Arabidopsis thaliana: one gene and its partners. The protein of the gene in region 3 purifies or fractionates together with the protein of the main gene of each other region. This does not show direct contact. Each region holds a gene or a part of one and is shown on either strand. Other genes may lie near its edges. The genes, in order: Fes1A, AT1G36280, CARB and AT3G18860.

Region 1 (4,507 bases), on a different chromosome or scaffold from region 3:
ACCTGAGAGATAGGAGAGTAAGCTAAGGTCTTTGAGCCAAACTGTAGGAAGAACAATAAGAGTAGCTGATATAGCAAAGATCTGAGGAGAATCTAGAGATACTCCAACGATGTTTAATGTAATGTTGGGGAAAACTCTCGATAAATTATCGCTCATCATGATTATATACTCCACACAACATACGTATAACTCCATGTACAGAAGTATCTGCAACTCTCAAAAGAGATCAAGAACCCTATATATTAGTTTGGAGATATGTGAAGTATATATGTAAATCATTTCCATATAACTCACGGAGATGATGAGGCGGCCTGTAAATCCAAAGGCAGCTTGACCAATGTCCGGGTAGGTACGGAGATCAGAAGAGCTCTCAAGACATCGTTTGAGGAGGATACCGGTGTAGCAAGTGATGATAGCAAAGGATAAGAGTATACAAAGCCCGAGCCATCCTCCTTCTTTCACCGCGTAAGGCATTGTGAGTAGACTTATTCCACAAAGGACATTGATTCCTTCACCAAAAATAGGTTCAACTTAAAGAGAGATTGAAACTTTTCTTTTTGTTATGACGATAAAATCTATTCAACCGAACCGAATGCCTAAACCCTAAAGACTTTTGAGACAGAATCAATATCGATACTACTACGTCTTACCATTTAGAACAGATTGGGGAAACGAGCAGAAATTTGGTTCTCCATACGAGAGATCGGTGTTGGATAACCCGACCTGAGATGAAAGGAATGATACATCGTCTTTCTCAGAGAGCAGCGGTTGTTTGCTTGTGGAAGACACAAACGAATTTGCAATAGAGGTTGGACGTCTCTTGTATAAGGAAGCGATGGAGCTACTGAATGATGTCTCAGTACTTCTCCCTTGTATGAAACTGACCATAGGAGGTGTAACTCCGGTCAAGAGATCCACAGAGTGTCTGAATTTTACATGAAAAAAAGAAGGAAGAATCTTCACAAACACTTCAAATAATTTCGTTAGATATCGAAAAACAAAGTATTTTATTTTACCTATAACTCTGAGGCCAGAAAGCGGAATCATTCTGGGATAATGAAAAAGATGCATTGGAATCATCGTCGTCATTAACATATGAGACATCGACATGGCAGTCATCGTCATCTGTCTGAATCAATATGTCCCTTTCTTGCTCCTCAAGATCCATCTTCGTCGTCTCTGCTTCAAAACAGAGTTAAATCAGAGCAAGTAACAGATTCCAGGACAGAACAAACGAAACAGGAAAAAAAGGAGGGAACAGAGAAGTGAAATGAATATTGGAAGAAATATAAAGAGACGACGAAGAGACTCGGTATTGAGTTCGATGTGTTGTCACGTCTGACGTCTGTCAACTTTGTATTAGTCTTAGGAAAAAAACACTTTGTATTAGTCCATTGATACTACTTGATCATATGTAACGAATTAAATTCTGGTCGACTGGTCGTTAAATTTAGAGTGGAAGGTAACGTTCACATGTTTAAAAGGTCCAAAGTCAAAAGGTACATGCGTGGCATAGATTTGCCAATAAATTAAAGAAAAAAAGGTAAATTCAAGAAAGGCTTATCGAGCTAATTTAAGCCCAATAATACTGAACTATTTGGGCTTGAGTCTTAAAGGCCCAATTTGTGGAGGAGGCGTCATCGTCTTCGCTTTTCCTTTTCCCTTGAGAGGTCGTCGACGAGGTTTAAGATTTTTAAGAATGTTGTAGTAGCTTCGCGAATAATCTCAGGTCTTCTATAAAACCAAACTAGCGATTAGCCGACTCTTCCTCTTTATTATTACAAAGACGAAAAGGCTTCGAGTTTTGTAATTTCTTCTTCTGTTACAAGTTCTTTTCACTGTGAAAGTAATTCTTCAATGGCGAAAGACGGACCTAATTGGGATGGTTTGCTTAAGTGGAGTCTCTCTCACGCCGACGGTACTCGACCCACTCGCCAGTTGAGGTACGGACATTCATCTTGTAGTTGGTTTTTTAGGTTCTGTCTTTTGATTTGTCTGAAACTGATGGGATGCTTGGTGGGTAGTTTAGGTATCTGTGTGGCTATGATTGAGCTTTCACTTGAGGAGATGAATCTTATGAGTGAATTCGAATCTGGGTTTGTTTAAAGTAGTTTTCTTTTTTGAAGATATCTGTTCAGTTCATCGGTTTGGTTAAGATTCAATTATCGAATTCTGCTGTTATGTAGGTGAAAGGTTATCTATTTTCTCGTTTTTACATGAAACTCTGTTAATTTTTTTTAAGGGAATTCACGATTTGTTCATGTCAAATCATTCTGTATGTGTTTTATTGTGGATTGTTTTGTTGATTTGAGTTGTTTTAATGAGACAGTGAGGAGGATCGAAAATGGTTTATGGAGGCTATGCAATCGCAGACTGTAGATGTAGTCAAACGCATGAAGGAGATTACACTAGTTATGCAAACACCTGAACAAGTTTTGGTGGAACATGGAGTAACACCTGAAGATATCCAAGGTGCGTAATTTGTGGCTATAATACATAGCTTAGATCTTTATCTTTTGCCATTGTGTGTAGGGTACTAATTGAGTTTATTATTCTGGTAGATTTGCTGGATGAGCTGCAAGAGCACGTTGAATCGATCGATATGGCTAACGGTACATTATCTCTAACTTGGACTTTGCTTTTTTTTTTTTTTTTTTTTTCTTTCCTGTTCTGGTTAGCTCAATTTGAACATTGCTTGTAACAACTTGTTTACTTACTATTGTGTAGATCTTCATTCAATTGGAGGCTTGGTTCCTCTTCTTAGTTTCCTTAAAAACTCTCATGCTAATATTCGGGCAAAAGCTGCGGATGTCGTTAGCACAATAGTTCAGAACAATCCTAGAAGTCAGGAACTTGTTATGGAAACCAATGCTCTGGAGTCATTGCTCTCGAATTTCACTTCAGACACTGATATTCACGCTCGAACCCAGGCTCTTGGCGCAATATCATGTAAGCCTGCTTCTGATAGTTCATTTTTAGTAAAGATTGAGATGATCAAAAGCTTTTGTGATTTCTATTTTACTTGGTTTGTGATACTAAAAGAGACTTATCTTTTCAATATGGGATGTAGCTTTGATTCGCCATAACAAACCAGGAGTAACGGCTTTCAAGCTTGCCAATGGTTATGCTGGCCTAAGAGACGCCTTGGCATCTGATAGTGTGAGATTTCAAAGGTAACCCACACAAATATTCTTATCATCTGCGGATATAAAATCGTGGAAGATTCTTGAATTGTTGCTCATTTTCTTTATTCAAATTCTCCAGGAAAGCCTTAAACTTGTTGCAATATCTACTGCAAGAGGATGATTCAGACCGCAGTATTGCCACTGGACTTGGATTCCCCCGAGTGATGATGCATCTTGCCTCTAGTGACGATGCTGAGATCAGAGAAGCCGCTCTTCGTGGATTACTTGAGCTTTCAAGAGAGAAAAACGATGGAAGTAGCAGCATAGATAAAAGCGATGAGAAACTGAGGCAGCTACTAGAAGAACGGATCAAAGGAATCACCTTGATGTCACAAGAGGATCTTGAAACGGTTAAAGAAGAGAGACAGCTCGTGGATTTACTGTGGAGCATTTGCTACAATGAACCTTCTTCTCTGAGAGAAAAAGGACTTGTCGTTCTTCCCGGTGAAGACGCATTGCCTCCTGATGTCGCTAGCAAGCTCTTTGAGCCTCCTCTTAGAGCTTCTGCAGCAAACCGTAATGCTACTGAGAAGAAAGATGAACCTATGAAACTACTTGGACCATAGACGAGAAATCAAAGCTAAAACTTTTTATTACTTTTCCTTGTTTTTTATGTTTTGTAACTTTTCAAATTGTCAGAAAAGTTTCATAGATATATGTATTATGTCAATGATCAAGGGCTATGTTATGTTAATTTTTGTTTTCATCATTCGAGATCTTTAGTCTTGTTATTGTTGAGATTAAGAATATTCAGCTTCAATGCTTTTTCAATTCAACAAGTGTTCTATACGATTTCGGTTTAGCAACAGCTAATACGGACCCGATCTAATTGATCGGTTAAAATTGGTAACTTTGAATTGCGGTGAACCGAAGAACAAAACCAAAGCGAACGTCACAATTACTTTGCAATCCCTAAAGGGACAGAGTTCGAATCAAGGCAGTCTCACATATCGGAGAAATCTCTCGTCACGTCTCTCAGCTTCGCCTTCAACACCGTCGTCGCCGTCACGGCCAACTCCGGTATTGTTATATAGATACAATTACAGTGAACTAGATAATCTCATCAAACCCTGATTCTTTCCACTTCCTCGCACGATTGTGTGAAAACAGTTACTTTCGCTATAAATAGTCTGATCTTCTTTCTATTGAGCAGTAAGATTGGAAGCTGTTGTTTCGAATCGATTCAAGCCTCGAATCTGAGTTTCGGATCGATATTAGAAGCTAAGGTAGGAGCTTTTTGAGTGAAGGAGTTATGGTATGGTGTAACCATTGCGTGAAGAATGTTCCCGGAATACGCCCTTATGATGGTGCATTGTAAGTGT
Region 2 (4,684 bases), 3.2 Mb from region 3:
TAAGGAATGTGGAATGGGTACCTATTAAGTATACTAGAGAGTTTAAAGGGTTCAAAAAGTAAAATTGTTAACTATTTTGGGAAGATTTAATGAACGGGTTAATGGTTAGTCAGCTAAGTATCTGTCAAAATATGGGAAAGAGACAATGATCAAGTAAGTCAATGAGTGCAATTTTGAATTACTGGTGGAGTTCTAATGGAAGAGATTGTAGGATTCATTGGATAGCATGAGAGAAAATGTGTATGGATAAAGAAGGAGGTTTGTGATTTCATTCCCTAGAGAGTTCAATGATGTGGCTAAACAGTATTGACGATTGATACAATATCTAAAATCTTTAGTAGCTCGAATGTTAAAAGATAGATATTTCAGGAATATTCATCATTTCCAAGCAAAAAGAAAAAACAAACTCACCATCATTTGGCCGAAAAAGTATTTTTCGACTAAAAAGACATGTTGAGATGGAAGCAAGATGGCCCTTGGATCAGGTTTCAATCTATTGGTCTGTTTAATAACCATAATTTTTTATTGGTTTGAGAATCATTGACCACACACAACTTATATAATTCATGACGCTTAAGATCAAAACGAGGCTCTAGATTAATTGAAACTCAAAAAAGAAACATAACACAACGATCAATAAACTGATTCTTGTTTTCCCATTGGATTTGGGAAAAGAAAATCATAATACAACAAGCAGAATCATCTACACCAATATGATCATATTATTAATGTCCCAAGTGCACAGCATCATCCACGGCTAGTGCCAATGCAGCAGCAGCGCCAACATATGTGTGTGGAGTTAGCTTCAAAAGTTGGTCTTTTGCTTCTTCAGGCAATTCCAAACTTTTAATAAACTTTCTAATGCTTTCTTCATTCACAGCTCTTCCTCTTGTTAGCTCCTTCAGCTTCTCATACGGCTCTGGAACACCATATCTCCTCATCACCTGTTTTTTTTATTCCTTCAGTTACCAATGTACATGGAATAATAACTTGATCATTATAATAAGACTAGAAAGTTTCGAGAAATTTACAGTTTGTATCGGTTCAGCGAGGACTTCCCAAGTATGATCCAAATCGTCTTTTAACCGAGCTTCATTAACCTATATCAAGAACATCCTTAGTCTATGACAAGTGAAGACCTTTCTTTCTTAGGGCAACGGAAATAATAATACCTGAAGCTTCCCAATTCCCTGTATCGCGCTCTTGTAAGCCAGAAGAGAGTGTCCTAAAGCTCCACCCATGTTTCTCAAGACAGTTGAATCTGTTAAATCACGCTGCAGATATGTACATTTAAATTTTCAGGCTTACTTACTTCTACACCATTACTGTTAGCAAGATCTAGTGGAGTATGCTCAAACCTGCATTCGTGAAATGGGAAGCTTCATGCTGAGAAAAGCAAGCTCTGCATTTGCTTTACCTAGATTCCCTTCGCTGTTCTCAAAGTCAATAGGATTCACTTTGTGAGGCATTGTCGATGATCCGATTTCACCCGCTTTAGTTATCTGCATCAAAATTTCAAACAATGAGACAGATTTTCCCATTCCTTTTCAAATGACTCGGACATATTTTTGTTAATACTTGCCTGCTTAAAGTAACCTAGAGATATGTAGCTCCATATATCTCTGTCAAAATCAATCAAGACATTGTTGAATTGGCTAATTGTATTAAAAAGTCTAGCCATATAGTCATGTGGTTCAATCTGCAAAAACCACCAGTGAGGAACTTTACAAATCATTCCACCAGGAAAAATTTGATCAAGAGAAACTATATATATACCTGAGTCACGTATGGGTTAAATGTTAATCCAAGAGAAGTAACAAACTCCTCTGCAACATGAGGCCAGTCAATATTAGAATACGCGGAAATATGCGCGTTGTAGTTTCCAACAGCACCCGCAAATTTCCCCTTAATCTTAGTTTCTGAAAGATATCTCCTTTCTACACTTAACCTCACAGCAAAAATCGCCATTTCCTTCCCCAATGTTGTAGGTGAAGCTGGCTGCATTATAAATCATGACCATTGCTTTAACAAAGAGATAGATAGAACTGAAAAATAATACTTCTCTTTGGACATTACCTGCCCATGAGTTCGTGAAAGCATAGGTACATATGCAAAGCTCTTAGCCATCAGAGAGATAGACTTGATCAACTCATCCATGGTAGGAAGTATAACCGAACTAAGTGCTTCTTGAAGCATCAAAGCATGGGAAAGATTGTTGATGTCCTCAGACGTACAAGCGAAATGGAAAAACTCTAGAACCTAAAGACGAGACATTTAGTCAATGCATCATCAATCAAAGCATCCAAACCCTAAGAAGAGTAAGAAACGGTTTCTAACCTTAGCAATCTCTGGATGTGATTCACACTTTTGTTTCAAAAAATACTCCACTGCTTTCACATCGTGATTTGTCACTCTCTCAATCTTCTTAACTTGCAATGCATCATCCATACTAAATCCATCGATTATACCTTGCAAGTACTTATGAGCTTCTTTGCTAAAGCTTGGAACTTCAGTGACTTGAGGTATATTTGAAAGCTTAATAAGCCATTTGATCTAACAAAAGTACAAAGTTGAAGACTTTAGCTAACTACTCAAACAAAACCAATCTTCCTAATCAATCAATGAATCAGAACATAACCCAATACCTCGACAAGTACTCGGAAATAGATCAATCCAAACTCGCTCATAGAAGAAGCCAAGTCCTTAACTTTTCCCCAATAACGTCCATCCAAAGGCGATAATGCTGTTAAATTCGACATCTCAAAGTCTCTGGAACTTGCACTAGCCATTGCTATCAACTAAAGTATATTCATTTATCAGATTACATACAAAAACCCACAAAGTAAATAGGCTTGAAACTAGAGAAAGGCTTTACCTTTGTTGAAGTCATTAGCTTGAGAGAATGAGGAGAAGAAACAGAGAATGAAACTCTTGGAAGATGAGACAGAGATTTTGATGGGTTTAAAAGACTTCTTATGGGTATAAGGCCGGAACAAGGGATTTTGGTGGCCATCGAAGATAAATTGAGCTCCATTTTTGTGTGATTTAGGGTTTATGGCAATTTACTCGAAAACAGAGCATATAGAGAAGAAGAAAGAGAGCAATATGAGTGCGAGATCGGTTCGCGGTTTGGTTTGGTTTGGTTCTGCTATTTATTTTATCGGTTATACAGAAATTAAAATCATTTCTAATTTAGTTTGGTTATCGTTTTGTTCTTGATTTGAATTAAGTTATATTTGTTTGCGATTTTTTTTTTTGTCATCTGAATTTTATTAAGAACCAAAGAAAGGATATAAGTTAAAATTACATATGCCGGCAGACGGAAGAGGGAAGTTTTGCCCAAACAAATTTGGAGAAACTAACGTACACTAGCCTTAGGGCCAGACTGGTTTAAATACAGCGGGTACGGTTACGGTTGCGGGAGTTTACGGAAACGGGCGGTTGCGGTTTCAAGCGTTATCAAGTGTTTTGAACGACTGGTTGAGCGTTTGGTAATGGGTGCGGTTGCGGGAGTTTTATGACTGGTAAACCAGCGGGTGCGATAATAATTAAATAAAAAATAACCAAAATAAATATAATATATTACTATTAAAAGAAAAAATACAATATATTATTATGATAAATTGATAATATTTGAAAAATTAAACATGCTTAATAATTAAAACCATAAATAAAACTGAAAATTCAAAAATAAATAGATTTTGTAAGAAAAAACTTAATACTTTATGCATTTGGTAAATCACCAAAAATTGCATCAAGTAGTGTGATAAACTGTAAATAACGTTGACCTCACGGGTTTTCTAGATTGCCTCTATACATATGATAAAGTTTCTTCAAGATATCCAAACGATTTTTAACACATCTCCAACTCAAAATTTTTCCAAACGTTAATATTCTTAAGAATATTTTCTTTTTGAACATCACTTAGAAATCAAAGTCTTTGAAGTAACGCAAATGTGGTCTCGTCTGACCAAATGATTTTCTAATCGAGAAAACAAATCAAAACATGTATTCAATCAAAAAACACAAAAAAAACCAAAAAAAAAAAAACGATGCCATGAAATATTCCGAGAATTACACTAGCTAATGAATGGATGAAAGGATAGATCATACTTACGTTTGATTCTTAATTTTGACTTTGATTTTCGTCAGTTTGGGTGGATGCCATAATTGAGAGAATAGGGTTTCAATATATTGATTAGGGTTTTCTGATAAGAATAAGTATAGGGTTTGGGTGGAAGATATAATTATTTTAATGAATTAATTTTTTTTTTTTTAACTTAACCGCTACCGCCCGCACCCGCAAACGCTTGCGGGAATGAGCTTTTGAAATCTGGCGATTTCGAGCGGTCCAAAGCGGTATCTAGCGGTTTCTATGATTGGTGCCAACCGCTAATAACCGCTACCACCCGCAAACGCAGCGTTTGCGGGTGGCAGAGGGAGAACCAATCAAGCCCTTAATATACAAACAGAAACCAATGTAAGAAAAGAGAGAACCACTGAACCACATAGGAAAACATTGAAACCTAAGCGCTAAAATTGAACAAAGGAACGATAGATCTCGCCAAGCTTTCCTATAGAACCTGTGAACGTCGGAAGCACCAATAAGACCATGGAGACCTCACACCGACGTCAAACCAAAAAATAGCAAAACCGATAAAGAGGAAAGCAAGTAACCATCAAT
Region 3 (6,353 bases):
GGGAGCTGTTGAAGGCTACAGAGTCGCAGGAAATGGGCCGTTGGGAGAGGCCGAGGACTTGCTTTACCCCGGTGGCAGCTTCGACCCATTGGGTCTTGCTACCGACCCAGAGGCTTTCGCGGAGTTGAAGGTGAAGGAGCTCAAGAACGGAAGATTGGCTATGTTCTCTATGTTTGGATTCTTCGTTCAAGCCATTGTCACTGGTAAGGGACCGATAGAGAACCTTGCTGACCATTTGGCCGATCCAGTCAACAACAACGCATGGGCCTTCGCAACCAACTTTGTTCCCGGAAAGTGAGCCAAGTTTTATCAGTTTGTATTTTGCTTTTCTTTCAGTCTTTTGAATTCGAGTGAGAGACATGAGGAGAAAGAGAAGGTTGTATGTGATGGTTTGAGACTTTCAGATGTAAATTTGCAAGACTTTGTATGATTTGTCATTAATCAAACTCAATTTTCTCTCATACTAGTCTCGTATTAACTAAAATTCAAATGGAATGTTCTTGGGTTCGCTCAAATGAAGAGGCTGTTTCTACAATTGCACAATCTTATAGAACATAACTCGAGTTTAAGCCAAGCGTTACATGACCTGATACAATCAAAGGCTTGTGTATATCTGAATTAAAGGAACAAAGCCGATTGATAAATCACAAGTTTGCTGCATTTTCGAAGATTATTCATAGAAATGCTTATGGGTAACAAAATCCGTTAAAATTTATCGTAAAAAAGTTCCACACAAACGATCAACACACAACAAAAAAACTAACTCAGACGAGCAAAGAAGATACATTCTTTACCTCAAAGAAGTCCTGAAGAGCGGTCATTTTAATGGCACTTGACTTCAAGCTCTTGATTCCCTCAGCAGTGGCCAATGCACCAGCAACAGTGGTTATAACAGGTACCTTGTATGCTAGAGCCATTTGTCTGAGCTGTCTCCCATCTTTCTGATCAAGAGCATCACCCGAGCTTGTGATCAACATCAAATGGATCTGACCATTCGCCACCATATCAGCAGCATGTGGTCTTCCTTCATGCAACTTCAACACTCTCTCCACTGGAATGCCTTTCAGTTCCAGGAAATGAGCTGTTCCCGAGGTGGCAACTATTTTGAACCCAAGCTCGAGGAAGGACACCGCGATTTTCTCCAGGTGCGGTTTGGTCATATCGTTTAAGCTGAGGAAGACTGTGCCTGATAGAGGTAGCTTTTGACCTGCAGCGATCTGAGCCATTGCAAACGCACTTGAGAATTCAGAACTGATGCTCATCACTTCTCCTGTGCTTCTCATCTCTGGCCCGAGTATCACATCGCATCCTTGGAACTTCTCAAACGGGAAAACAGCTTCTTTCACAGAGACATGTTTAGGGATAACTTCTTTTTCAAAGTTAAGATCTTTGAGAGATTTGCCCGACATGACCAGCGCTGCATACTTGGCAAGAGGGTGTCCAATGGCTTTTGACACAAAAGGGACAGTACGGGAAGCTCGGGGATTGGCTTCCAGCAAAAAAACATCCCCAGATGTTGTGATTGCGTACTGACAGTTCATCAGCCCACATACATTTAGCTTCTTCGCCAGCTTAGTGGTCCATGTTCGAATAGTTTGCAAACAAGAAGCTGGGATGGTTTGTGTTGGAAGCATACAAGCTGAGTCACCAGAATGCACACCAGCTTGTTCGATATGCTCCATTATTCCACCAATCACCACATTTCCATAGGAATCAGTAAGGGTATCAACGTCGATCTCAATGGCATCAGAAAGATATTTATCTACCAAAACAGGTCTCTCTGGGTCAACTTGTACCGCATTTTCCAAATAGGTTATTAGTCTACTGTCATCATAAACGATCTCCATTGCTCGTCCACCTAGAACATAAGAAGGTCTTACCACAACTGGGTACCCTACCTCCTTTGCTATGGCTAATGCATCAGCTTCGCTCTTTGCAATGCCTCCCTTGGGCTGCTCAATCTTCAGCTCGTCGAGAATTGCATTGAACCTCTCTCTGTCTTCAGCAGCGTCAATGGAGTCAGGTGATGTACCCCAGATGCGAACAGGTCCCGCTCCGCTCAAGCTCATGGGCATGTGCTTATCCAAATAATGTTTGATCGGCAGAGCAAGTTTCAGAGGAGTTTGACCACCAAATTGCACTATTATGCCATCAGGTTTCTCAAGGTCGATAACATTGAGAACATCCTCGATTGTGAGAGGTTCAAAATAGAGCCTATCGCTTGTATCATAATCTGTGGATACTGTTTCAGGATTTGAGTTCAACATTATGGTCTCATATCCAGCATCCTGCAAATAAATTAAAAAAAGTAGATAAGTAAGTTTAGCATAAAAAAGTTGAAACAATGTTTACTGGCTTTTGGGAGAGACGCTTAGATTGTCTAAAGACATACCTGTAAGGCGAAAGATGTGTGGCAACAACAGTAATCAAATTCAATCCCTTGACCAATGCGGTTTGGCCCTCCACCCAAAATCAAAACCTTCTTCTTGTTGTTTGGAGCTGATTCACATTCAACATCATATGAAGAGTACATGTATGGTGTATGCGCTTCGAACTCTGCAGCACATGTATCCACTCTCTTGTAAGATGGAACAACTCCTAGAGAAATCCGCTTGGTACGGACTTCTTCCTCGGTTGTCTTTGTAGCAAAAGCGATTTGCTTGTCACTAAATCCCCGCTTTTTGACTTCGTAAAGGTCTTCTTTTGTAATCTCTGACAAGGTTCCGGACATAAGATACTGTTCGACGTCCACGAGCTCTTTAAGCTGGGTTAGGAACCACTTGTCCACCATGCTCAACTCGTAGATTTCATCAATTTTCATACCCTTTTTCATGGCAGCATATATCGCATGGATCCTGTCAGGATTTGGGACTCTTAGGCTGTATTTCAGCTGATCCCAGTCCCAATCTAGCTCTTTAATTTTTGCACAACCCCAACCCGAGAATCCACACTCCAGAGACCTCAGAGCTTTCTGGAAAGATTCTTGGAATGTACGGCCGAGAGCCATAGATTCCCCAACAGATTTCATCTGGGTCGTTAGCAATGGCTGAGATCCTGGAAACTTTTCAAATGCAAATCGAGGAATCTGCATGGTAAAGAAATAGATATCGTTAAGCAAAATATGCATTTGAGTTTATATATCATGAAGTGGATAGATGTGTGTAAATCTTCAAAGTCAAGCGTATCTCATTTCGCAACACAAATAAAGCCAAAAGTATGGAATGACAAACCTTAGTCACCACATAATCGATGGAGGGCTCGAAGCTAGCCGGTGTTTTCCTCGTGATATCATTAGGAATCTGATCCAAGGTATAGCCAACAGACAACTTGGCAGCCATTTTAGCAATGGGAAACCCTGTAGCCTTGGAAGCAAGAGCAGAAGATCTTGAGACCCTAGGGTTCATCTCTATGATCATAACTTCACCATCAACCGGGTTGACAGCAAACTGCACATTAGATCCACCACACTCAACACCAATCTCCCGTATAATCGCAATGGAATAATCCCTAAGCCGCTGGTACTCTCTATCCGTTAGAGTCTGTGCAGGTGCCACAGTGATGGAATCACCAGTGTGCACACCCATAGGATCAATATTCTCAATGGAACAGATAATGACAACATTGTCAGCTAAGTCTCTCATCACCTCAAGCTCATATTCTTTCCAACCCAACAAGGATTTCTCCACAAGAACTTGACTTGTCGCACTCGCAGCCAAACCCGATTTACATATAGACTCAAACTCCTCTTTGTTATACGCAATTCCACCACCAGTACCACCTAAAGTAAACGCAGGACGGATAATCAAAGGGAACTCACCAATTTTCTCAGCAATGTCAAAACACTCATCAAGAGTGGTCCCAATCCCTGAAGGTGGAGTCTTTAGCCCAATGTTCTTCATCGCATCCTTGAACAACTCACGATCTTCAGCTTTCTTAATCGCACCAAGCTTAGCTCCTATCAATTCAACACCGTATTTCTCCAAAGCACCACTCTCAGCAAGAGCAACCGCGAGGTTCAATGCGGTTTGACCACCCATGGTTGGTAACAAAGCGTCAGGCCTCTCTTTCTCAATAACCTGCTCGACAAGCTCAGGAGTCATCGGAGCGATATAAGTCCGATTAGCAGTTTCCGGATCAGTCATGATAGTGGCAGGATTCGAATTGATCAGGATAACCTCATAGCCCTCTTCTCTTAAGGCTTTACAAGCTTGAGTACCAGAGTAATCAAACTCACAAGCTTGTCCAATGACAATCGGACCAGCGCCGAGAATCATAATCTTCTTCAGATCGGTTCTCTTGCCGACGATCTCCGGAGAAAAAGGCTTGGTAGTGGTGTCGGCGAGCTCTGAGACGGGTTTGAGAACATGCGTGAGGGAGCTTTTCCGATTGAGACATGGGGGGAAAGTGGAGAAGGAAGAAGAAGACGAGGCTTGTTTTGGTTTTGATCTGTAATAGATGGCAGAGCGAGAGAAGAAAGTGGAATAGGAGAGCTTGGAAGGAGAGAAACGAGGATTGGATTTGGAAGAAGCGAAAATGGAGGAACAATTGGAAGAGAGTTCTAAGCAATGGTTTCTCATTTTTGCTTCTTCTTCTTCTTCTTCTTCTAAGTTTTGCCTGTGTCGGCTCTGTAACTGGAGACTGCTGCAGAAGAGAGTGAGACACGAGAGAGAGGGTTTTAGGGTTTCTCGAAATTTGGATTATTCCGGTTTGGTATTTATTTTGTCTTTCTCAATCCTGCTGTATTTGATTATGACAATCCATTTTTTCAACAACAATTATTGGGAAAATATGATAAATGACATAAAAAGATAATTAACTCTTCCAAAAAGTTGCAAAGAGAAATGATTTTTTTTTTTTTGGTTAGAATGTATCATTTCGTCATTTATGGAATCGTATCCATAATATGATAGATATTATGTCTCTGGTTTAAAAAAATAATTAAATTTTTGGAAATTAGAATATTATTGTTTTATTCAAGAGTGTTTAAAATATAAAATGGTGTTATAATGAATGGAGTTTTATTGGTAGTAAATCCAATAAATATTATTTGATATAGATTTATTTCATTAAAAACAAATGTTATTCGTGTCATGTTATTAAAGTTATACTCTATATGACTTTTAAATATAGTATATATTCCAAATCGGTTTTAAAATGAGTAAATAAGAAAGTCAACGAATTACAAAACTAATTACCGCATTTATTTTGTAGTCAATGCGGTCGCAGGTACTTACTGCTTTTGCTTTCGCTCAGATCATCAACTCTTCTGCTGACTTTACAGTAGATTAAACAGATAATGTACTATATATAACAGTCGCATCTGGTAAGGTTTCCTTAAACTGCAAACTTTTCTAGTACCGCATGTCCTTCTCTATAGAATCAATCTTTTTAACTGTATATAGTAGTATTATATGTGTTTGCACGTTTGATATAGTAGTAAAAGCTTTTTTCTCTGTGCAACTAACTTTAACTTTGTGTTTCTCAGGTTTGTGACGTCTCTTCTGTAATGGAAACATTTGTTCAGAGTCGTCATCCTTTTTGATAATGGTGCAACTGGACAATAAGGGATCAGGGACTAGTACAAAAGTTAATGTGGGATCAAGAGAAGAATAAGACCGATAATATATAAACAAAATGATATCGCAGCCATAGCAATCACGTTGTGGAGCAGCCGTTTGTCGTCTTTCGTGGGTATGAAAACTGATTTTAATGTATTGGTTAGCTCGAAAAGTCGAACAGATACCTGAATGAAGAAGGAAAAAAAAAGTGTAAGAAGTAATAAAACGATAAAAGCATAGAATGGTTTTACCGATGCTTTTTTACCAAGACGTAGATGGCCGTGGTGAGCATGAAGTTGAGCATTGGGTATTCTGGGATGATTGATAATAGCAACTTTGGCTGCCCATTTGGCACACTCGATCTGCACCACATTGAGAATTATTGTTATACTAACATATGTTAACCATAAAGGCTTCACTAACCACATTGTGAAGTTTCTTTATAATAACATATGCTTCGATTTGTAGATCCCACTAACCTTAACCAGATGTGAAACTGTGAAATGTAGGTCTCGAGAGTTATCTTGCCCAGCCACCTAGAGAGAGATCATGGTCAAAAAGCTGTGTGCACTGTGAACAAGAAGGTAACAATAAGGAATTAAGAGATTGAGAATCTTACGCAAAGAGTGTCAGGGAAAATCTCCGTAGCTGTTGGGTGCAATTTCGCAGACAGATGTAGACACTGTTCCAGATTTAAAACCAAAGGTCATAAATCAAGAAAGCATATTATCTCAAGATTTAGCATGAACCATGAAAATGAAGAAAAGACAAAGTTGTTGGTACTGACGTTATTGG
Region 4 (7,800 bases), on a different chromosome or scaffold from region 3:
GAGAAGCAACGTCGAATAAGCCAACTGCAGATTCTTATTTGGGGATGAATAACAGTTTGAGAAGGCATCAAGAATCTGCATTGATCCACAGCAATTAAAACCACTTCTCAAATTATTATAATAAACACACACATGTATAGGCACTATCTTATGTTTAAATGTAATTAGAAACTTAATTTATATGCCCAGACGCAAAAAAGCAATGTATATTAGACATAAAACCCAAAAATTTCTCCTCAGGTTGCAAGTCACAGCTAAACCAATTAGTAGGTTCATCGAGATCATCACACATCCTAGTTCTGGTATAAAATCATAGAAATGAAAGAGTCCTTACTTGACTATGATGCGTCTGTAGCCAGTAATGAAATGAAGAATTCTTGAATAGATTAACAAGGACACGAACAGTCGTTAAAAGATTTGCAGGAAGAGCAGAATCTTCTGTAACTTTCTTTATCAAATCCAAAAGCAGGTCTGATTGATATATAGTAACAGAGAGATACCAGTTAATAAAGGACATTACCTACTAGCTAGTACTTTCATTAATGTTGAGAAAGCATAGCTTCACGAATTAGATGATTACCATTGTTGTTTTCCACATGCTTGATAAGTAGACTTGCTCCATGATGATGCAAAACGAGCATCCTTACTATATCAGTAGCTGCATATTCAAAACCATAGGTATAAGAGCTTGACACAAGATAAACATAAGGCTATATCCAACAAAAGACAAAAATAAAGTGGCCAGCGAAAGGCAAAATGCTTTATGGCCTGCAAGAAACATCAAAAGAAACACAAGGAGACCAAGAATAACATCCAAATAAACCAAAACATATCTCATTTTAGATTGTTTAACAAGCATCTCGGAAAAAACTGACTTTGCTGTGGCTTCATAATATTGAGAAACATATGGCTACCATCAAAAGTTCAATATGTAATAAACAGTTCTGTTTGACTAATTGATTGACAAGAGAAGACCAACCAGGAAACATCATTGCCGGTGGCCATGCTTGTAGCACTTTCAAAAGCAAAGCAATATCCATGTCAGCAAAATTGGTAGAGTGGTAGTGTGATGTGTCCTTCAGTATATTAACGATTGCGCCTACTCTGGATACTTCGAGTTCGGTCAGGGACTTGTCATTGTTTACCTTCAAAAGATGGAAAAATTGTAGAAACATAAATACCAACAATAGTATAAGTAAAATAACCATTTAATCATTTTGTGTGACTAAAGTTGATACTGAAAGCTTACTGCGTCAGATCGTAAAGTAGTATTGAACTCTGTCATCTTTTTCAGAATCCCGTCATATTGAGCAGCATCGAAAACTAGCACACCTCTCTGGAGAGAGTTATGGAAGAAAAAAGGATCAAAAAGCTAGAAACATTAAACAGTAATAACTAATAAAGAAAGAGAACCAGCGTACTTTTGGAATGTGCTTGTATAAAGGTTTTGCCGGAGTTGCTGCAACAGAAAAGAGTCAGAGCATGAGGCAGCAAAAGAACAATACAAGAAATGAAGAAATTGAAAGTATTATGTGAAAATGACACAGACAGTGTATTCATACCAGCTGTACGAGATGCTTGCCCAGGCACATAAGCATTTGCTGTTACACAATAAAAGGCAAAACACAAAATTAAAATAAAATCCTAAAAACAAAATTTCAGACCAATTATTTTCAAAAATTTTATACCGCCGGTGAAGGGATCACGAAAAGATGGATTAAAGTTGAAGTCTTTCTGCCCAGAATTTTGTAATATAAATTCAACAATTTGCTGCCGATATGCAAAGGGGAGATTCTCTTTTAGAAGCCACTTGTCAGCTGCATCATAAGGATTGTCTGCCAAACAAGAAAAGATTTGAAGTATCAAAAACTGAAGCAGTTTCTTGTGGTTGCACTTGTAATAAAACAAGGCCAGTAAGAGCATTCAGGTACCTGATCGATTGTAAGGTAGCTTCCGGATAGGTTCCCCATCACCAATGTCAACATCGAAAACTAGAGAAAAAAAAGGGCTAAGAATTTTGTTCTTCGATTTTGAGAGATTCTCAAGTTTCCATAATAGGTCAAAATCTAACCAAAATCATATTGAACTCCCTCGTGAATTGGACGATCAGCCACACCATCTGGGCCATCAACAACCTCACCAATCTGAAAAAAGGCATGCAGTGAGAACTCAAAACATTCTACCACACTAAAAAGCCAATGTTTAATCCTTCATATGCAAACAAATGTTAGAGAGAAATCTATCTCATTTACTTGCTATCTACTTAAGAGATTGCTACTTCGAAGGAGGATCAGAAGTCAAAATCAGATGAAATTTTCCTCTCAGGTATGGGTTGCCACATTAAATAAAATCCTCGCAAAAGGCAAATTGCTGGCAGTACATGCTATCAATTTATGACCAGACAGCATGCTCATTCGTGGAAATTACAAGCCCTAATCCGATGGCAACTTTTCGATGAACAAAGTAACAAATATTCCTCAAGGTAATTGTTTCAAAGGGAAGTTATCTGTATATTCATGCATGCGATCTAATATATAGCAAAGCCGCATTCAGGTCAAGAGCAAAAACGAAATGCAGTCGACAAATAAAAAAAAAGATAAAAGTTCATTCTGTTTACTTACTTTGTCCCATCTCTGTTCTTTCATATTCCATGCATAAGCAACACCATTGTCTCCTTCCCTTACTACTTTTGTCTGGCCATCACTGGTACCTGAGAACATATATCAAATAAGAGAGGATGATGTTACAAGAATGCCAGCTTAATCTATTCAAATTTGATCGCCAGACACTATCAATTATCTTTGTGTTCTCTTGAGATTCTTTAAAATTTAGCCTTTCTCCCGTACGAAACATTAATATTACAATTAATTGGATAATAAATGGTACCTGGTGACGTCAAAGAATCAAGCCCTGGCAGCTCGTCAAGTTTCAATCCGCCAACCTTTTTCCTGAGATAAAGAACAGCACGCATATACTTTGCAGTTATATTTTGAGCATAAAAGACAAGAAAGCATACCCCGTCAGCAGGTCATATAATATGCATTGCCACGTGAAGAAAAAAAACTCAATGGACATAGAATTTAGTCGATAAGAATAGAGATCACCATAAATGATCAGATTACCTGCTTAGTTTGTATTGAGAAATTTGGGAATCATAGGCATCAATCTCCATCTGATCTGCAATCGCATCATGACGTACTGTCCAAACACGAACCACTCCATCTGAACATGCTGTCACAATATCTCCGGTTTCCAAAAACTTGGCATCCCAGATACAGCCTGGGTGTTCCAAACTCTGAACGCAGACTCCATCTGTACCAAAACAAAAATAACAAAGTAAGAACAATAGATCAACCTATAAGATCTAAACATGCTTTAAACCAAAATGTCAGTCTCTTTTCGCAAGTGATATCTATTATAACAGCTATTGCAGACCAATCTTCGTGAGCCTTTCAAACTGGTTTCTGATCAGTTGATTACTGTCTGACATACTAACAACTAACTTTCCATAGGTTGCAACTAAGTGATCAAATTTATAACACGTCTTCCACAAAAATATGATATATAGACATCTTTATTATTGAAAGAAAACTTTAAGAGCGAGCAACATACTGAAAAGTGGAGACATATTTTCCAAATTTAAACATCTCAGACCTCATATAACCTAGAAAACTGTGAAACATAAGTGAAGAACAGCCAAGGCATCAATAGAAACTAAGGAACCCGTAATCACCTTTCCATATCTTGGCATGACGATCTTCACTGGCACTAACAATAAGGCCAGACGAATGTGCGTCAACTGAATAAACAAGGGAGGTGTGGCCAACCATCTCAAGAAGAACTTCGCCACTTAGTGCCCATAACCTGATTGAACTGTTAGAAAAAATAAAATAGTGATTTACAACCTTTGCTGTGTACAAACACATGAAAGGATAAATAAGAGAAAACTCAAGTATCATATTATCCCCGGATCACAAAACTTATCCAGGTCATGCAAAAGACAACACAATTCGAGTTAAGCACATAAGGATTCACTTGGACAATGAAATTCAGTAAGGCATGAGTTTGTTGGAAGCAAATAACTTACCCATCATGTGATGCGGAAAGAAATCCTAAATCAGGCATCACAGCTAACCCTCTAACAGTATCTGCATTGTAAAATAAAAATACTTGTATAAGACAATAGTTTCTCCAATAACAAGGAATCCCTGACAACAGGCCAGTGTCTTGGCACTTCACAAGATAAGATATCTTAGAGCAGCTAGTATCAGATTCTATCTTATTTCCGGTATGCAGTTTCTCATATTGACAAGGAAATTTTGAGAGATACGAAATTTGGGAGAGAGTAATGAATTCACCTGTATGCCCTGAAAGAGTTTGCAGACTCGTTTTACCCTTCCAGAGTTTGAGACTGGCGTCACTTGAACCTGGTAAGTACAAGTAACATCAGTGAAAAATATGCCGTCAAGCCTAATCAAAAAGAAGTATATGCATCTTAAGAACAACCAAAAAATCATTTAACCTAAGCTTGCAAAACGATCATACTAGAAAATACAATCGAATAAGGAAGTCCATGGCAGCAAGAAAACAACAAAAAAAACAGAAACAAATGCATCAAATGACAGCTTTAGCTGGATCATGTACCTGAAACGAGCTCACCAGATGGCAGCCTTATCACTGCCTGGATAGGCGACTGGTGTGCATCCCAAGATTCAACAAGCTGACCGTTTCTCCATCGTTTCAGGGTTCTACAAATAAAAATAAATAAATGTAAGTTACATTACACAACAGTAGAGGGTAAATCAAAATTTGATGGATCTCTTTACCCCAGTATTACTAAAGCTAGTAAGCTACTCAAGACAATAATGCACACAATTAACACTCATAAAACCTTTACAACTACGGTTAAGATTCATATAATATCCTGTATGTGATACAATTCCTGGGAAACAGTGAAGGAAAACCGCAGGCTAGTACACTCACTGGATACTAAGTAAGAGGCATTATTGACTAAACAGTTGGTAAATGTCATACTAAGGAAATTACATGAACAGGAGGACTTACTGATCAACTGAAGATGAAACTATGTCCTCATTATCAATAGCAACACCAGTGACTTGCATCTGATGACCCTTCAATGTCTGAATATTCTCTCCATTCATCAGATTCCAAACAAAAACGAAAGTATCCATACTCCCAGAGACAAGTCTTCCTTCAGGGTATTCATCAGTTGGTGGGATCCATGCAAGTGGCCCAACAAAGCTAGTATGACCCAGCAGAATTTTCTCGGAGGTATACTTGCGCTTATCAGATGGATCCAGTGACCAAACCCTTATGGTCCTATCTCTTGATGAAGTAGCTATATTCTCATCATTACACACACAAATCCCACGAACCTGAAGATGTTGATAAACCATGAGTTTCCATTGTCACAATCACAGTTATTATTCAATTGCATAAGCTCAATAGCATAAAGACAATCACACTCCTGCCGAAAAATTGTATAAATTTGATCTATATTAATGCCATTGGCACGCAAGGTTAAACATCAAACCCTATTAGATAAAATTCTCAAATTGAGTACAAATTCGTTGAGAAGTCAACCTAATAATAAAACTAATCAAAACAAAGCTTCACACTAACTATCAAATCAGCTCATTGAATTGAAAAACCCTGGATCAAAAGCGGAACAGTGAAATTGGAATCACGAGGGTGAATTTTGCTGAACCCTACTGAATACAAGACTTAATTTCAAAATCTAGAGTAGAATCGATCACGAAAACGAGAAATCAAAACAGTAGAAAGAAGAAGTGGATTTAGCAAAGAGATCTTACATCATCATCGTGGCCATGAAGCTCGCACCTGAGCTTGTACTCGTTGAAATCGATATCCATGACCATGACTGAGAAGGAGAAGCAGCAGATTGAGAGATACCAAACGCCAAATTGCTGCGACTCAAAAAGTGACTTGAGGAAGGAGAAACACTCTGCAGGAGAAAAACTAATTTCTTATTTCCTTTCTTTTATATAAGGATAAACGTATAATAAATAACCTTTGTGGGCTTTCAAAGCCCGGCCCAATTGATAGACTGAAAATAATAATAAGCTGAATAAAGGGAACAATGAAACACGATGACGTGTCGAATTTAATAATGACGAAAAAGGAGGGGACAGTGGTTTAAATTTCCTCACCTTCCTAAGAGTACTACTTTCTACGAGAAGTGGCATAGACCGTAATTAGCAACAACCTCTGAGCCTATTTTCACAAAACGATCGTAGTCCTTCATGATATTTTTCTCGGCCATTAAATTCTTCTTCTTCTGCACTGTTTGTTTATAAATAAAACCTGGAAGCTCAGTTCCATGGTAAGCTGTCTTCTTCTATCTGGTTCCTTTCTCTGTCTGAATTTCTTTTTTCCAATAATAAATTTTACAAATGCTGTGTTCTTGATTGGCTTTTTTAATCCTCACTGAGATTTGTGCTTGAATCTTGATTATCTTGGTGAGAGTTTTTGTTTTAGACAATGTATATATGTGTTTGAGAATACAAGCTTCTTCTTTATTTTAATCCAACATTAATCAGATTGTATGAATTTGAATAAGTCTATTAAATTACAAGACATTGTTTTCGTTTTCTGTTGATAAAGTACTTTGCTATCGATTCTTATTTTGATGTGTCTTTGATCATTACCTGCAGGTGAAGTATGTTGTGTTCAACCATATGAGCTCTGATGGTGATTCTGGTAACAGGAAATTCATGAACTTTGTGATTCATTGCATCAAGAATAGAAGACTAGAAGGGGGAGGTTAATTAGATTATCTTAAGGTGTATAAAATGGAAAAAAAGAGTGTACCAAATTCTGATAAGTTGTCTCTGATTAGAGTGTTAAGAGGTATAATATGTCTGATGGTGTTAGTTTCAACAGCTTTTATGATGTTGATATTCTGGGGGTTCTTATCAGCTGTAGTGTTGAGGCTTTTCAGCATTCGCTATAGCCGTAAATGTGTTTCCTTCTTCTTTGGCTCGTGGCTCGCCTTGTGGCCTTTCCTCTTTGAGAAGATTAACAAAACCAAAGTTATCTTCTCTGGTGATAAGGTTCCTTGCGAGGATCGAGTATTGCTCATTGCAAACCACCGAACAGAAGTTGATTGGATGTACTTCTGGGATCTTGCACTGCGTAAAGGCCAGATTGGGAATATCAAATATGTGCTTAAGAGTAGTTTGATGAAATTACCTCTCTTTGGTTGGGCGTTTCACCTCTTTGAGTTTATTCCAGTTGAGAGGAGATGGGAAGTCGATGAAGCAAACTTGAGACAGATAGTTTCGAGTTTTAAGGATCCCCGAGACGCTTTATGGCTTGCTCTTTTCCCCGAGGGCACAGATTACACGTACGTTTCCTTTCTTTGGAGTATCATTCTTGTTTAGAGACCTTTTAGTTAAAAGCATTTTACAATGGAACTTTATGCAGAGAGGCTAAATGCCAAAGGAGTAAGAAATTTGCTGCTGAAAATGGCCTTCCGATACTGAACAACGTGCTGCTTCCCAGGACAAAAGGTTTCGTCTCCTGCTTGCAAGAACTGAGTTGCTCACTTGACGCAGGTTTGTCTATACTTTTGCTGGTTTGCATCAGTGATTTAAGATCCTAGGCCTTTCCTCTCTTCTTGAAAAACGCAAACTCTGATGCAACACTATTGCACTTGCAGTTTATGATGTGACCATCGGTTATAAAACCCGCTGCCCATCTTTCTTAGACAACGTTTATGGAATTGAGCCATCAGAAGTTCACATCCACATCCGTCGT

What was found.
Region 1: the proteins of CARB (region 3) and Fes1A fractionate together in Arabidopsis thaliana (co-fractionation; one large-scale study listed by BioGRID). This does not show direct contact.
Region 2: the proteins of CARB (region 3) and AT1G36280 fractionate together in Arabidopsis thaliana (co-fractionation; one large-scale study listed by BioGRID). This does not show direct contact.
Region 4: the proteins of CARB (region 3) and AT3G18860 fractionate together in Arabidopsis thaliana (co-fractionation; one large-scale study listed by BioGRID). This does not show direct contact.

Annotation. Positions count from the first base shown.
Region 1 is NC_003074.8:2,869,359-2,873,865, forward strand, and holds Fes1A (Fes1A), read left to right. Parts: upstream 1-1,611; 5' UTR 1,612-1,857; coding exon 1,858-1,943; intron 1,944-2,029; exon of another isoform or gene 2,030-2,329; coding exon 2,330-2,472; intron 2,473-2,561; coding exon 2,562-2,612; intron 2,613-2,727; coding exon 2,728-2,949; intron 2,950-3,070; coding exon 3,071-3,173; intron 3,174-3,264; coding exon 3,265-3,751; 3' UTR 3,752-3,974; downstream 3,975-4,507. Other genes in the region: AT3G09340 (Transmembrane amino acid transporter family protein), read right to left, coding at 3-207, 295-509, 651-925, 1,017-1,168; AT3G09360 (Cyclin/Brf1-like TBP-binding protein), read left to right, coding at 4,438-4,499.
Region 2 is NC_003070.9:13,638,950-13,643,633, reverse strand, and holds AT1G36280 (L-Aspartase-like family protein), read right to left. Parts: upstream 3,127-4,684; 5' UTR 3,035-3,126; coding exon 2,876-3,034; intron 2,799-2,875; coding exon 2,646-2,798; intron 2,554-2,645; coding exon 2,338-2,553; intron 2,260-2,337; coding exon 2,077-2,259; intron 1,999-2,076; coding exon 1,777-1,998; intron 1,700-1,776; coding exon 1,583-1,699; intron 1,503-1,582; coding exon 1,359-1,502; intron 1,275-1,358; coding exon 1,173-1,274; intron 1,101-1,172; coding exon 1,032-1,100; intron 945-1,031; coding exon 726-944; 3' UTR 512-725; downstream 1-511.
Region 3 is NC_003070.9:10,466,388-10,472,740, reverse strand, and holds CARB (carbamoyl phosphate synthetase B), read right to left. Parts: upstream 4,786-6,353; 5' UTR 4,578-4,785; coding exon 3,231-4,577; intron 3,086-3,230; coding exon 2,393-3,085; intron 2,289-2,392; coding exon 765-2,288; 3' UTR 530-764; downstream 1-529. Other genes in the region: CAB3 (chlorophyll A/B binding protein 3), read left to right, coding at 1-298; RWA4 (O-acetyltransferase family protein), read right to left, coding at 5,588-5,743, 5,824-5,920, 6,038-6,094, 6,178-6,240, 6,346-6,353. UniProt on the Arabidopsis thaliana protein: Large subunit of the arginine-specific carbamoyl phosphate synthase (CPSase).
Region 4 is NC_003074.8:6,499,874-6,507,673, reverse strand, and holds the start of AT3G18860 (transducin family protein / WD-40 repeat family protein), read right to left. Parts: upstream 6,007-7,800; 5' UTR 5,901-6,006; coding exon 5,835-5,900; intron 5,397-5,834; coding exon 5,065-5,396; intron 4,749-5,064; coding exon 4,645-4,748; intron 4,428-4,644; coding exon 4,359-4,427; intron 4,149-4,358; coding exon 4,088-4,148; intron 3,874-4,087; coding exon 3,734-3,873; intron 3,313-3,733; coding exon 3,123-3,312; intron 2,949-3,122; coding exon 2,887-2,948; intron 2,711-2,886; coding exon 2,622-2,710; intron 2,145-2,621; coding exon 2,072-2,144; intron 1,992-2,071; coding exon 1,932-1,991; intron 1,836-1,931; coding exon 1,689-1,835; intron 1,602-1,688; coding exon 1,563-1,601; intron 1,460-1,562; coding exon 1,422-1,459; intron 1,337-1,421; coding exon 1,250-1,336; intron 1,146-1,249; coding exon 980-1,145; intron 659-979; coding exon 581-658; intron 472-580; coding exon 335-471; intron 76-334; coding exon 1-75. Other genes in the region: LPAT5 (lysophosphatidyl acyltransferase 5), read left to right, coding at 6,834-7,387, 7,468-7,598, 7,703-7,800.